Linked DNA regions of Drosophila melanogaster. The protein of the gene in region 2 interacts with the protein of the main gene of each other region in a pairwise test. Each region holds a gene or a part of one and is shown on either strand. Other genes may lie near its edges.

Region 1 (9,134 bases), 3.1 Mb from region 2:
TTCCAACAATTGAGAAAAAAAATTTAATATAGTGCTTCGCTTTGGATTTTTTAAAGTCGACATTTGTATAGATATCTGCATATCTGTTTCGGACCTGGGTCCGTTCATCGACCCACCAAGCGGATTGCATTGTCAACAATGGTCAAATGGTATGATCCACTTGGTCTAATAACCCCAATTGTCAGAAAATCACATGATCTTTCTGCAATCTCTATGGAGTGCTAAGGTGGAATGGGACGACGCATAGCCAGACCAATTTTTTCGTCATGGTGGGAGTTGACTTCACAGTTATCGGTCGTAGAGAACTTAAAATTTCATTTATCTTCGCGAAGGCAGATGTAAACGGTGACCCTGATGCAACAACACTCCTGGAAAGGATTGAGCTGCGAGTATTTGTCCCTATTCCAAGAGAAACGCAAGTGTCGCGTCGTAGTTTTGCTTAAGGAGGACAACATTCCACCGTTGAGATGTCATTTTGAGCGCATCCAGGAAGTCATATCCGGCGGGGACAGCGTCATCAGAGTAGCTATCAAGAGAGCCGTCGTCCAACCAGTTGCCCCATCGATTTCGATATAGTTGGAACCGTACCTCTAACAACGAGCAGTCATGCGCTTATATTGTATGTATGTGTGACACCTCCTGCAGCGCTCTTCGGGTAACTATTTTCGCCCTTATTTCTACTCTGGCTAAAAATGTTGGGTTATCTATTCAGCTATTCGAAATCGCTACAGAAGCCTCGTCTGTTCATTTCTTTAAAATAGCTAATAAAAAGGCTTCTTAGCTCAACATACATGATACAAAATTTTCAACAAATTTAGTATGCCGACTTCCCCAACTATCATATACCCGTTACTCAGCTAGTTGAAATTGCGGCAGTTTTGGGCGGCTTAAGGCGTTAGAGTGGGTGTCTCAAAAATTTTTTGGCAGATAGATAGAACTTTACAAGACTAAAAATGTTATGAAAATATATCCAAAAATTATTCAAAAATGTGGGCGTGGCACTTTTGCTCGGTTTTAGGGCGTTCGAGTGGGAGTGGAAAATAGTGTTTTGGCAAATCGATAGAAATTTACAAGACTAATAAAATTATAACAAAATATCCAACAAATTTTCAGTCTTGGGCGGTTTTAAAGCCTTAGAGTCGGCATGACAAATCAATAGAAATTTACAAGACTAACAAAATTATAAAAAAATATCTAAAATTTTGAAAAATTGTGCGAGTGGCAGTTTTAGGGCTTTAGAGTGTGCGAGGCAACAATTTTTTTTTGCAAATCGATAGAAATTTACAATATTAATAATAATGTAAAAAAAATCAACACGTGTTTTTAAAAGTGTGTGTGCGCCTTTGTCCCTAGAATCTGTATGCTGAATCTTAACCTAGCTTTCAATCTAGCTTTCATAGTTCCTGAGATCTCGACGTTCATACGGACTCGGCTATTGGTCCCTGATCAAGAATATAAATACTTCATATGGTCGGAAACGCTCCCTTCTGTCTGTTATTTTTTAAAGAATATTTACGAATATAACAAATATTCAAGAATAACGAATTTTTTAATATTAACATTAGCAGTATAATTTTAAATAATTCAAATACTGTAAGCATATATAATTTCCAAATGAAAAATTCTTAAGCCTCAATGCATTTTCATATATAATTATACAACTGCTTATACTTACCTGCGATTTTCGAGAACGGTGCAACGTCGTGGTCGGATGGGACTTTAACGTGTGGGCCGCTCTAGTGTGGTCGCCACACACAACTCCCAAGGGCAAATTAAATCTCGAAACATTCGCTAGGCTGGACGTTCAACAGTGCCGTTGCAGGATTAATTATCGACCTCACGTTCATAAGCAGTCCATTCGCTCGCTTCTCCTGTTGGGGTATCAAGGAGGTGGTCACAGTCAGTGACCACGAGGCGATCCAGGTCGAAATAGGCACAAAGGCAATCGAGAGCAGGGCTAACACGCAGTAACCTAAGGCCTACCGACAGAACACCATGAGTCTAGAAGAGTCCGCCGGCATTCTCCATTACCTGACGGTCAACGAGGCGAACTTGTGATCGCAGCAGCGGATAAAATAGTAGCGAGGGTGGAGGAGGCCTGCGGCCAAAGCATGCGAATGAGGAAAACGAACCGAAGGCACCACACCCTGGTTTTCTGGTGGAGCGAGGATATTGCCTTGCAGCGCATCATCAGCCTACGCGCAACGAGACTCGTACAAAGAGCTCGTGGCACCACGCGTCTGGAAGCATGCCATACGGAATACAAGGTCACAAAGAATTCACCGAAGAAAACGATTAGAGCCAGCAATCGTGAATGCTTTCTGAAAGTCTGCGTCGCAGCAGAAAGCGATCCATCTGCTCTGGAAAACATCTTTAACGTTCTGTTCCTGTTCGGTCTGCCATTCCCAATTCCCAGATCGGGCCAAGCGGAGACGAATTGCGGCCTGTCACGGAGCCCGAGATCCTAGCGGCTGAGAGGAGTCTTAAAACCAAAACGGTACCACACCCGATCGCATCCCAAGCAAACTACGAGAAACAGTGCTATGTTTGTTACCGCCTAAATTTGAAGGTTTTTTTTTTGTTTTACCAATTATTTTTAAAATATCCATGAGATCTGTTACTAATTTTTTTATTTCGATTGAAAATCATTGTAGTATTTAAGTTTAGTGAGTAAAATAATGAGAAAGTGTCAGAAAATAGAGAAAAGCTGGGACAAACACGAAATGTGCTTATGATGCTATTATTGTTACCGCAACTGTAATAAAGAGAGTTTCTTGACAGTCTTAAAAGCGTGTAAACTTGGAATTTGTTGTTTATTTTCTTGTATATTTAATATTTTTAATTTGTTTTTTGATTTATAAGTAAAATAAATATTGTTTGATTATATTTTATAAAAAAAATTGCGTTTAATTAAGCAAAAAACCCTTTATTTTTAGCTTTAAAGTCAAAAATTCAACTTATTTTACAGTGTGTAAACAGTTTCTTGACAAACTGTATGTGATATGTGATTCTAGAGACATAGGCGCCGCGCAAGTTTGTTAACCCATGTTGCCATGTGCAATCCAACGCACACATACCGGACAAAACTGCCACGTCTACACTTATGTAAAATGTTTTATTATTCTTTCATATTTTTATTTTCTTTTAAATTTCTATGAATTTGCCAGAAAACATTTTGCCATGACCACTCTAACGCTAACAATTTCAAAATGTTTTGAAATTTTTTGATTTTTGTATACAATTTCTATTAATTCGCGGCCACGGCCCTTCTTACACCTTCCAAACCGGTCAAGACCGAACTTTTGATCAATTTGAAACAATTTTGTTCTTATTTTATATCCCAGTATTTAACGATATCCCAGAAAAATGATGAATGAATTTCGTGTTCCCATTTTCACGAGCTGACTAACGGTTATCTGATTGACTCGACAATACCATTCTCTCTTCATTTGAAATTATATGTGGTATATCATTGGTATAACATTGATATTATGTTAATATGGTTTTTGCCGCCGTAAGAATAGGGTATAAGCTATTAAGTTGCTGTTCACAGTGTTCAATATTTGAGTATGTAAATATTTGATTTTCTCTTGTAAATCGTATTAACAGCTGAGTGGATGTTTGAAAATAATTAAATCAGGTTGCTTTTATAACTTAATGCAATTCATATTGATATTTTACTGATATTCTCTTTCTTAAAGGTTTAATCATGTAAACAACATCACAGTGTCTTTACTTAAGGGTGGCTTATTGATTTTAGACACATGTTATCAACGTTGGATTTTAATGCATGTTGAACAAACACGAATAAATATGCAGTCTCAAGGACAGAGCCATCAACTGCCGTCCGCGGCCCATATATTATTAGATCAAAATCCGAATTCAACAGGCAGTAACCTAGTCGTAAAACAAAATGACATTCAATCTCTTTCATCAGTCGGTAAGAAATAACCATACATTTATATATGTATGTACATACGTTTGTAATTGATTTTTTTAAAGAATACATCTAGTTAAATACTTTATACATTAATGCAAATGAATAAGTTTGACAGCGAAGACAACCACAATTAAATTAAGAAAAATCAATAAATCAAACAATTGGTTATGCCTGGCCCGAGATAGATATGTGTCTAATGTGTCTCATATTAACAACATATTAAGAGATGCATATGGTGTACGCATCTAAAAATTCACACAACATAAAAATCAGTGTTCAGTGTCTGAGCTTATTTCGTGTAGTTAAATTAATTTTTATGTTGGCATTGCTTCGATGAAAGATACCAGAAAAATGTAAACGCAATATTTTTGAAAGAATTATTGACATGGTTAAAAAACAGACGATTTCCGTATTCTAAATGTGCATCCCTCATTAAAGCCGTATCTTGTAAGGGGTATCTGGTAGTCGAGAAACTCGTCTATAATGTTATCTCTCACTCCATCTAAAATTAAATTTTTTATTGTAATTTTTTTTTTTTCTGGCTTAAAGCTTACTTTGCACTTAAATTTTTTTTCGTTCTGCTGTAGCTTGCACGTTTTTCCTTTTTTAAATTTTTGACAACATATATTACATATATGTACATATATTATTTGGTATTCATTGAAAAGTTCTTCGGTGCTTTTCGGCCTTCATTCAATACAGTATTTTCTTTTAGGGAGAAGCTTCCGCTTCTCCGCGAAGTTGGATCAATCTCGGATATTAAAATTAAAAAATTGTTAGGTTTAAAATGGCCATTTATTGAATATTAACATACTGCACAAAATAAGCTGCGGCATAAAAAACACCTTTTTGTTTTCTAAAACGATTAGAAAATTGCTTTTTTTTTATATAACAAATTTAAGAATCCGGTGCTGAAATACCTTATTGGTTTGAAACCTCTAAACTGTACGAACAAACTACAGCAGACAACTTCGGATGTGTCCTTTGAAATTTCAAGGGTTCGTTACCCTGCATATCCGTTGGTTAATCTGCACCAATTGAAGTGCTTAACACTAGTCTAATTTGTTTAAACTGTATTATTTCTAGAATATCATTGACTGCGTAGTGAGAGATCTTGAAAACTCATTGACTCGGCCCATTTTAGGGTAGTCCTGAATCTGGATGTGTATGATCTATACCTGTATTTCAATCTGCATACATATGCATGTGTCTGCAGTTCTCAGTGTGTGTCTCAATCATCTTTCCTTGCTGTACCTGAGGAATTATCTCTTGAGCATAGTATCTAGTTGCCTTCTCTAAAGTATGAAGCTTATACAGATTACTTCCTCTGATAATTGCACGAAATAATATTCAGTGTGAAGAAGGAAGTTTAAAAATAAGTTTTGTTTTCATTTTATTATTTGCCTTGCTATGTTTTATTGATTTAAAAATCTGTTGCGGAACTCGACCAAAGGGTACGGCCAAAGACACCAGAATAACAAGATGCGTAACGCCATTCGATGTGGCTCTAGAGCACTATGGGGCATTTGGCCTGTTTTTTTTACAATAATGTGTTTTTCACAAGTATGCAAATTTGAAGTATTTTAGTATTAATACATTGGAAATACGTTAAACTGTTATGATACAGCCCGCAAAAGTTAATTTTACAATGCACCGTTATAATAACAGCTGTTAAAGTCGGCTGTTGCGAGCATATATCACGTGGCTGCTTTGCGCGCAAAATTTAGCTTAACTTTCAAAGTGTTAAAATTTAAAAAGAAGAAGAAGGAGAGTATAATTTGAAATAGATAATCAATCTTTAGGTTTTTATTATGTGTTGTTATTAATATATTGTTTATTGTGTGCGCCTATTTCTAACAATTTGTACATTTAGCAAGTGGTGTCAACATGTAGTTGTTTGAAAAAATTTTAAACTTTGAATAGAGCTACAACAATTTGTTCAAATTTGTTCAGTAAGTGTTTATATCCATGTTGTAGTGTGTTCAATTTCTAACTCATATCAGGTAGTCTCTATGTGCGTTTTTTGCGGTTTCTTGAGAAATTTCATTTTTTAGGGAGCAATATCTCGATTTCCAATGCTGCCCTGCTGGAAGTGTGGCGCAAGCAAAAGGTTGTTCGTCAAAAGGAAAATTCTATTTGCACTTTTATCAGTGGGCATATTTCTGATAGCAAGCTAGACTTTAATGAACGATTAACGAATAATATTAATAACGAATGATTTCAGTCAATCTTTTGCGAAATTGGAGAAAATGCAATCGAAAAATAAATGAATTTTTGAAAGTTTTTCAAATTGGTTAGAAGAACACCTAGTCCTGAAGGTAAAGGAGAAAAATAAAAAGGAAAGGAAATTAGCTGGACTCCCGAAAACGTCATATTATTTAAAAAATTTGAGTGGCCGAAGACAGCAAGCAGATGAACTCGTAAGGGCGCAGAATCACAACGAATGTCTTTTGGTTCAAGCTGTACGGAAGTGCTGCCTGCGGGATCTTGCAGCCATACTTAAAATTCTTTTGTTGAACCCAGCCAAAGCAAAAACTATTAGTAGCTTCGCAGATGTCTTTTACAGAGCAATGGATACTACGGATCCCATAATATCATCAATAAATTTAAAGAGGCGAAAACATAAGCGACTATCTCTTCCACCAGAAGTCATTCAAATGTTAGCTTGCGAATTTGAACCTGATAAAAATTCTTCAGACTCTGCCGATTGTGAAGAGGAAGACGGTTATGAATTATACAATATTGAAATTAAAAATAAACTTTAAAAATATATTATTAAAAAAAATTATAATATAATATATTAAAAAAAAAAAAAATTGGGGCGGAGTTGGGGCACGGCCACTTTTTCAAAATATTCCTGGAGGCATGTGTAACGCATAAAAAAAAATTCATCCAAATATCTCCAATAGTTTAGGAGGTATTAATTTTTGTAAAAAAAAACAGGCCAAATGCCCCATAGTGTAGAGGTGGCTCCAGGCTCTCTCGAATTTTAGTTCGAGAGCAAAAGAGCTCTTTTCTACGCATACAGTGATAGCAGACAACTGTATGTGTGCACACGTATGCTCATGCATTGTAAATTTGACAAAATATGCCCTTCACCTTAGAAGTTCATAGATATTATCTATCTATATTATAGATCTATATTATTTTTATATATATATTATTTTTGATCTATATATCTATATTATTTTTGATCAATTGGCATCATGCGGAAAATTCTTGTTTTGCTTGCCTTAACGTCATTATTATTTAAATATAGCTTAGAAATAGTTATAGCCGAATCATAATGTCACAAAATAAATTTCAAAAATGACTATATTAGAATATTTGTCATTAGAGTATTCAGCTTGCGACGTGTGAAAAATTAATAAGGCATTGTTGAGTGCTTGTGTAAGCAATTTAATGTCTTCTTTTTGGAAAATTTATGTTTTAAATTACAGTAGTTATCATACTTCCTTTGCATTTGCCTTAATTATTTAGTATATTTATTAAGTCCTTCGACTTAATATGATTTATGTAAATGATCGATTTATATTATTTAAAATGCACATTAGATTCAGTTGTTTAGTTGCAGTTTTTTTTGTTTTATTCCAATTTGATATTTTTAAACAGCGCGCAATTTCATCATATTGCTACGAAATTGGCCAAAACTCCCCAAATATGTAAATTCGTTTCTTTGATCAGAATTGATTTCGGCCCGAAAATCGTCTTCTAGCACAACACGCACACATATACGCGTTCTCGTCTCTTGTTTTAACTCTCACAAACAAGCAAATTCTATTTTCAGATTGCTTACGCTCTCATCGTAAGCGAGCGGACAGAGAGCAATTTTGGCCGTCACCAAATTAGGTTCTCCGTTAGTTTATGTGTACATAAGAGCTCAACATCAAAATCAAAAATGTTAAAAAATCAAAAATTTGACCTTTTCAATTTTTTCTAATTAAATTTTTTTACCAAATATTATAAAAAAACATTTGCCCAACCAATATTTGTTTTTGTCGTTTGTCCGCCTTTAAAAAACTTTAAATTTTTTTTTTCGTTTGCCTCGCTTGAATATAACTTATTTCGTAAGCCCACCTCTTAGAAATAAATATTTCGTTTGCCCACTGTTAAAAATAATTTATTTCTTTAAAATTAGTTTTAATCGTTTGACCATCCTTTAAAATTAGTGTCTATCGTTTTCCCATCCTTGCAAATTAGTTTTTATCGTTTGTCCATCCTTTAAAATTAGTTACCTAGTAACTAGGTACAGGCTTAAAAAATCAAAATCCAAACTTTGTAAAAAAACGTAGGATCTTAAACTGTATTTCATCTTATCGAGACGTGCATTGAAGATCTAAATCCTCCTAATAATCTAAATTCCTGTGCGTCACCAGGTTAGTGCTCCTTGAGCAAAAATTTTTCATGTGAGATATTAAGAAAACTGTTCAAGCGAAAGCTTTGAAAATTTGTTTCCCTTAAAAGTTGAACAATTCTATAAATGTAAAATTTGTTGTTTTTAGATTTTTATTTAAATAAAAAAGAAAGACAATCCATAATGGGTATGGGTAAGTGAAAATTGGCTCATCAGGATAGCGCCCCCTACAATAATTTAAGTTTTTCGATTCAGTTCAAAAAAAATTAGTTGATTAGCACTTAAATATTTAAATTAGAATATTTTTAAAGGAAATTAATAATTATTTGATCCTTCTTTGTTTCTCGTCCCAGAGTACAACATAATGCCACTCGTTAGACTAGGTCATATGAGCTCCGGCAAAACTTAGTCGTGATTTTTTTCGCAACTTTCTATATTTTTTCGGTTTTTCGTGTTTTAAATGTTTAGCTTTCTTAATCACCCTAATTTTTTTCTCGAATTTGGCCGGAGCAGTTGTGGGAATTGGTATTTGACATGTGGACCTGCGATCTGCCGCGTTAAAGACACTGTTATTGCCACCTTTATAGTGTTTTCTATAAGTTTAATTGTTTTTAATAAAATTGGCTATAGTTTTGCGATGTATGCGCTTTTTTTCTGCAATTTTACGAAAAGAAAGCTATGATAGAAAGCTATGATTTCAGATTTTTCTTCTCTTTTTTCGCAAAATGAAAGCAAACTTTTCAATTTAACAGCATAAATAATTTTGTTGTCTCACCTTTCAAATTATGGAAAATATTCAAAACTGCATTGGGGGCGCTAATCTCATGATGCAATATACGT
Region 2 (7,570 bases):
TATTAATAACGCTGTAAAAGCGTGGCCTAACAACTTTTACATGAGAAAAAATTATAAAAAAATTAAACAAGAGAGAGCTATAAAGTCTCGACTATTGAATACCCGATATAATCATGATAACAGCTAGTCCATTAACATCTTCAAGGATGTTTTTGCCAACTCTCTACTCCTAGATTTGAAGTTTATACTAGATGATTGACAATGTGAAGGGTATTGTATAACAGGTAGTCGATCGTTAAAGCCATGTTTGCATCAGGGTTTTTTTTCCAGTGTAACGCTCTCAAACCGTCTCATTTTGGCACCGAAATTCTTTCAAAAAAATGGTTATTTTAACTTTTTTCTTACAAATTTCTATCGGTGTACCACCAACATTTAAACCGAGTAATAATAATAATAAGTATTCGAAAATTTCACTATACCGTTCTTTACTGTTCTTTTAACAATATGAAGATGAAGAGTAAACGCAAGCAATTCCAATCCGGTTATATTTTGCTCAGCCATGACTTTTGTTTAATGAAATATTTTATTGCATTTAAAACTGTAATAAACAGACCGAATTTATACCTAAATCTGGTTTGATGGTCTTCACTTTATGTATCGCTAATTAAACAGGTTACTATTGGCTAAGATCAATCACGTAACATCCAGACAGTTCGTGATAATCTGAAGCAGCGTTTGTTCCCTCGGCCAAAATAAATCAGCCATAAACAAGGTAACTCCTGCTGCCGTCAGGGAAATTAAGACCATATCTAAATAGATTTGTTGCCAAAGAGTATCGAATTTATTTCCTAACTCGATAATCATTTATAATGTCTGCATGCTGTTTAAATTCTAAGGGTTAGAGGGCAAGGTCTTTGGAGTTGCACCTCCGATTCGAATGTGGGTCCTGGTCGTGTCGATTGCTTATTCCTTGCTGGGATGGGCCTGGATGTAGGCGATGGCCTTCAGGATGGCCTCTGGGATTGGAGGAGGAGTGGGCAGGAGGTCGCTCTGGGGCTGGTATCCGTTCTCGTCGGCCTTGTAGCTCACACGGACGTGTTCGCCCTCGGGGGAGACCCACTCGAAAACTCCGTCGATGTTTCCGTGGACATCTCCGGTAGCAGAAGCAGCGGAACCGTTGTCCAGGACCAACTTGCTTACGAAGCCATCGGCTTGGACATCGTTGACCAGCTCCTTGACCTCGGGATTCTCGTTGGCGGCCACCAGGGCGACAAGGGCGCAGACAAGCAGCTAGGATATTCCGGGATTACTCATTGAACTGTCCGGCTTTAAACTTCAGATACTTACGATCTTGAACATTTTGACTTGGTTAGATTGTCAGACTAAAGAACTCGTGAGACTGATGCCAATTCGGGATCACTCGTCGGCTTTTATACGCTTATACGCACTCCCCACGAAATCTTAAAGCTGATCAAAAGCTGATGCAACCCGTTTTTAATTAACATTTCGGCCAGCATAGGTCTCGTTTGGTTTTACGGACTGGTTCAAGTGACATGCTTGGTGGCGATAAAAATCGTCTGCTGCACTCTTTTTGATTTCTATTGTCTATGCAAATCGCTACCGTAATTATTCTAAAAAGAATCGGGTTACTCGGAAAAGGGTAAGTCCACCTTCTCATTGAAATAATTTAACATCTTCCGGAATATTTAGTCAGATAACTTTGAATTACTCCAGACAAATCATATAAAAATAACTTGATTGAATAATGTCTAAGCTGCTGATAGTAGAAGTTTAATTATTAGGAGGTGAAAAATAACTAGAAAACAAAACTTTTTTGCGAACCGCTTGTAGATCCAGCATACCTTTCGGAGCATCATTTGGTTTCTATCTGCGAAATGACTGGGAACGGGTTTATGGAATCTAACATTCTGTGTTCACCACCCTCAAGACTTGACTGACCGGGACTTGACATAAATCCTACTAAATTAAAATCTGCATAAACATTCTATTCCTCAAAAACTCTTACTCATATAACCTTTGTAAATAACATAGATATTAAGAATAGTTTAAATTGATACCGATAAGATTGGGTTGCCTAAGAAGAGCGTACTATTGCTAGTCAATTAAATTATTGTAAATAATTTCGTTTAATAAAAAAAAACATTGTGTGTATATTTTATCTCTAGTTTCCGTTAAGTCAATATGAACATTCCCGTGGAGTTTGACATATACAATGTATACGATTCTTACTTATACAATCACTATTAAACACTTAAGTTACAATATCATAATATAATCAAAAATCCGAAAGCACAGCAATTTGATTGATATTTCTCCAAAAATCACTACAAGATCTTATAACCGTGTAACCTCAGGGAAGTCTGTGTTATTTTTTGTTACGTGTATGACTATTTAAAAAAGGTTAAAAAAAAGATGAAGAATTTGATTTTTACATCTAGGCTTATAATGCCAATTTCAGTTATATTCATAAAAAGACCAATATAAAAACAAAAATTCGACTCGGCTAGTGATAATGATGATGAATATACATACTTTTTAGGTTCGAAAACGCTTCATAATACCCTTAATACCCATAATACCGACATGCGTTCTAACAATTCAAGTGTACCCTTATCCTCTACAAATAATAGATATAAAAAAGTTCCTCGTCGTTTTCATCATACTGCGATCTTATCTGGGATGCATCAGGTTGGCAACATTTAATTACTTGTGGCTGCCTATGAACTTAACTTAAAATAATAACTAGTTATAACCCAGTTTTCGGAAATATGAAATTAATGCAAGGAGATATCGGCTTGTCCAGGTAAGATTTTTGTAATGTTTACATTTATTTTAGATGCTTTAAAGATTTTTGTATTTAAATTAATTTCGTACTATACTATAACAACACAATTGTAATTTAATGAAGGCCAAAGTGTCTTTGATTACTTTTAATCTTCTAATTGTACCTTCTTATACCATATAATACCGGGAGCCTTCTCTTAAATCGAACTGTCAGATTTGTAAAACATGCACTTGGTTTATATTGCAAGGTTTAATTTATTTTCGAATTCGATAACATTTTCCTTAAATTTAAAACAACTGGTAAGAAATTATCCAAACTCAACCTAGCTGTCTCCAATCTTTCATGTTCCTAGTCGGCGGGTTCACTTAGTTCTTGCTGGGGTTAGCCTCGATGTAGGCGATAGCCTTCAGGATGGCAGCTGGGATCGGAGGAGGAGTGGGCAGCAGGTCACTCTGGGGCTGGTATCCGTTCTCGTCAGCCTTGTAGCTCACTCGCACATGGACACCCTCGGGGGAGATCCACTCGAAGACTCCGTCGATGTTGCCGTGGATGTCTCCGGTGGCGGAGGAGGCAGATCCGTCGTCGAGGACCAACTTGCTGACAAAGCCATCGGGCTGGACATCGTTGACCAGCTCCTTGACCTCCACATTAGCGTTGGCGGCCACCAGGGCGGCGAGAGAACAGACAAGCAGCTAGGATAATCCAGGATTAGACTGCGAAGTCACTATGCTCCTCAAGGCATACTTACGATCTTGAACATTTTGATTTGGGTGGATTGTCGGACTAGAAATCTTCTAAGACTGATGACAATCTATGCTCAAATCGGTGTTTATATATCATCAAAAGCTGATGCAATGTGCGTATTATAATTAAGTCAATGTGATGCATATAATAAAAACCGTCTGGGATGCAAATTAGTCGACTTGAGATGGCTTAACCACTTTCATTAGGAGATGAGCATTCTTAGTTATTTATTCAACTGAAATATTCGCCCTAGTCTAACCGAAATGCAAAGCAAACCGGACCAGAAACCAGAATAATTATTAAGCAGTACAATATTTAATTTTCTAAAATTCAACTTCAATATGAACTAAACTTAAGCATAGCATAGTTTTCGGTGTTTCATTTGGTGTGTGGCACGTTGACAACTCTGGCCAAAAGCTTTGCGGGTTTTTTTAAATTAAACAGTGACATCCAAAATATTGAGATACAACAAAATGTCATAGGCAACTAGCACGTTAATATGCAGTATCACTTGCGAAATCGTTTATTCCGGTATATTGTTTATTACCACTTCGGAACCTTTTAAAATAGATGGGACTGCTATCAAGTGAAGTGTATTGGGTTTTTTGATTTTGTACAGGCATGATTGATAAAGACTTGGTCAACTCGAAACGTCATCGATGAGCACAGAATCCGAAAACCGTACTCCATCGCCCCTACAAAATTTCTACCGAAGCATGTTTCATTTCGGAATCTGTTCAGCAGCGCAAGACTTGTTTTTTGACATTTGTATCGCAGAGTCAAGTGGAGAATTTATGGGCCCTGCCTTTTGTTGGCATCATGGGCGTTTCGTGATAACTTAGATTTGGCCCAAAAAGTAATAAGCAATTCGTTTGGAAAGCAACCAAATTGGGAATCATATAAAAAGACTCTGTCGACCAAAGTCAGTTATCAGTCAACGTTCGTTCTCGACCAGACAGAAATCAGCCAACATGTTCAAGTTTGTGAGTGGCTCACAGGACATTTATGAACTCGCCATCTAATTGGTATCATTTCCTCTATCCAGGTGATGATTCTCGCCGTTGTGGGAGTGGCTACCGCCCTAGCCCCAGTTTCCCGCTCCGATGATGTACACGCTGATGTCCTTTCCCGATCGGACGACGTTCGTGCCGACGGATTCGACTCCAGCCTGCACACCTCAAACGGAATCGAGCAGGCCGCCAGCGGTGATGCCCATGGCAACATCCACGGCAACTTCGGCTGGATCTCACCCGAGGGCGAGCACGTTGAGGTAAAGTACGTCGCGAATGAAAACGGATACCAGCCCTCGGGAGCCTGGATCCCCACTCCTCCTCCAATCCCAGAGGCCATCGCCCGCGCCGTTGCCTGGCTGGAGTCTCACCCCCCAGCACCCGAGCACCCCCGTCATCACTAGGACTCGTCACCCGGATCCCGGACCACTCCACGGACTGTTCTCCCGAAACAAATCGCCCAAGTTGTTTAGCTGTACTTCTTGACTTTCAAAAAAATACATGCACTTGCTTATAGCAGTAAAAATGTGTGTGTTCTTCATTGCACTTTTTAGGTAGTTCCTGTAATAATACGAGCTTTTATACCTCTACCTTCGCTGGGAATGCTTCCTTCTACCTTTTATATTCGATTCACTAAATCCATTTATCAAAAATGAGTATATGTGTCCATAAAGAAAAGATGTGCTGAATTAAAAATTAATTTTGTCTTTTAAAATTTGAGAAGGATCTGGGCAGTCTAAAAGATCTGAAAAACAAAAAAGCAAATGTTTGCATACAATTTTATTCTCACTAAAAGTCTCAATGCATTTTTTTTTTATTTTAAGTAGTATTTAAAAGCCAATTAGAGAAGCCAATACCAATGGACAAACTTATTGAAATAGAAAAGCAATGGTCAATGCCACACGAGCCGATTACCCTAGTATATACTCGTAGTACTAATCCCGTGGATTGCCATGCGATGCTTTTTAATGGGTGTGGGGTATCTTCATAGTCAACCCAGATTTCAGAGCACCAATCGTATGAAAGATGTAGCGTATTGACTTGGGTTCAGTTTTGGTGGTTATCAGTCAACGTTCGTTCTCGAGCAAACAGAAATTGGAATCTAAAATGTTCATGCTCGTGAGTAACGGCAGGATACGAACGTATTCAATGTCTATGCTCTCGTTCACGTGGTGATCTGTGCAGTTTTTGGATTGAGTGGCTCATCCCCCATCCCCCATCCGTAGGACGTTTCGAAAGTGACAACGCCGATGTCCACTACCAATCATACGATGTTTATACCGATGGATTCGATTCCAGCAGTCTGCACATATTCAACGGAATCGAGCGGGCCGCCAAAGCAGATATCGATGGTATTTTTCAGGGCACTATAAAATGGATCACCCCCGAGGGCGATCACGTCGAGGTCACGTACGACGCTGGTGAGAACGGATACCAGGCTTCGATCAGCCTTGATTCCGACTCCTGCACCAATCCCGAAGGCGTTCCACTGACCGGTACCCGAGCATCCGCACCATCACCAAGACTCTTCACCCCGATCTCAGACCCATCCACCGACTTTCCATCGACATGTTATATATTATTCAATAAAGTTTTTTACCCGACATAAGTAAATGGTTTCAAAAAGAGAGAAGAATCACCATGAACGGCATTCCACGTAGTGACGAAGCGCACCAGAGAGTACAAAGACAACTTCTATCTGCTGTAGTTGTCTTATTATATTGTGTGATAACCAATAGAAAGGCAGCATAAAAAGTAAAGAGATTGAACCGTAAAATAATCTAAGAAGATAATGAGATAAAAACATACGAAGATAAACTGAAATGATAATACCCGTTACTCGAAAGTAAAATGGAATACTAGGAAAATTATGTAACAGGTAGAAGGAGGCGTTTCACACCATATAAAGTATATATATTTTTAAAAGCGATCAATAGCAGAGTATGTCCGTATGAACGCCTCGACTTCAAAAACTAGAGAGTTAAGATTAGATATGAAGATTCCAGAGGCCCACAAACGGCCTAAAACTGCCACGCCCACACGTTTTGAACAATTCAATAATTTTTTTCATATTATTATTTGTTTCCAAATTTTTACCGATATTCAAAAAAGTATTGAAATATATCGGTCACACTTCCAGCTGAGTATAGCATTCTCTCTTTTTAAAATAAGACTGGGAATTTGTTTGGTTGTTTGTCTGTCTGCAAATGCACCTCAAATAAATAATGTCATAAAGCGTCCCGAACGAGTAACTTTTAGATATTGTATTGTCTTAGTTGAATAAAAACTCTATTTTCGTCACAACAGTTAATATTAGAAGCTTGGATTGTTAAAGGTGCGATAGTCACTAGCATAAATCTCAGAAGAGGCTATTCTGTTTGATTACAAATTAATCTTAACTTTCAAACCAAATTTGTGAGGATACTGTGCGGTCTAACTGATCTGAAAAACAAACTATTCAAGCTCTTATATTAGATGTTCGGCTTGCACATTTAAATACCATGAAATGTATCTATAGGAATTATAAATTTTAAGTAAACTTTTAGTTTATATGCCTATACAGACAAGTAAATATCCTCTTTAGGTTAACATTAGGTTTTCTTAACAATTTTAATTGTCACTAAAAAACTATGTATTTCGGTAGCCTCCTATATGGAACAGGTCTTATTATCTTATTTAATTTTACGAAATATAAAAAAATAATATAAGGCGCTATGCATATGAAATATAATGTAAAACACACTTGAATTTGTTTAAAAGCAAACTGCAACCTGTTCGTCGAGAGGAATTGATAAAAAAAAGAAGAAATGGTGCCAAGGTAGAGACACACGTTTATATATTACAAAACATCGAGTCTAAGAAGTCGGCGATGCTTTGTAGTCCATGGAGTCTTGATGGGACTACAAAAGTGGTTCACGGCCTGGCAATGCCAAGTCAAGCTCAAAGGAGGGGATTTAATGAAGGGGCGGGTCAAACTCGTTTCGATTTCGGGATGCCACCCGACCCGTTTGCCCCTTATTGATGCGATTGTTTCATTTTAGCATCTATTAAGCGATTATATATAGTACTT

Evidence for each region.
Region 1: the proteins of Lcp2 (region 2) and sxc interact in a two-hybrid assay, tested with the Drosophila melanogaster proteins (one large-scale study listed by BioGRID).

The regions. Positions count from the first base shown.
Region 1 is NT_033778.4:5,303,713-5,312,846, forward strand, and holds the start of sxc (super sex combs), read left to right. Parts: upstream 1-3,575; 5' UTR 3,576-3,786; coding exon 3,787-3,940; intron 3,941-9,134.
Region 2 is NT_033778.4:8,431,425-8,438,994, reverse strand, and holds Lcp2 (larval cuticle protein 2), read left to right. Parts: upstream 1-4,209; 5' UTR 4,210-4,461; coding exon 4,462-4,473; intron 4,474-4,535; coding exon 4,536-4,904; 3' UTR 4,905-5,198; downstream 5,199-7,570. Other genes in the region: Lcp4 (larval cuticle protein 4), read right to left, coding at 904-1,230, 1,288-1,299; Lcp3 (larval cuticle protein 3), read right to left, coding at 3,112-3,438, 3,495-3,506. UniProt on the Drosophila melanogaster protein: Component of the larval cuticle.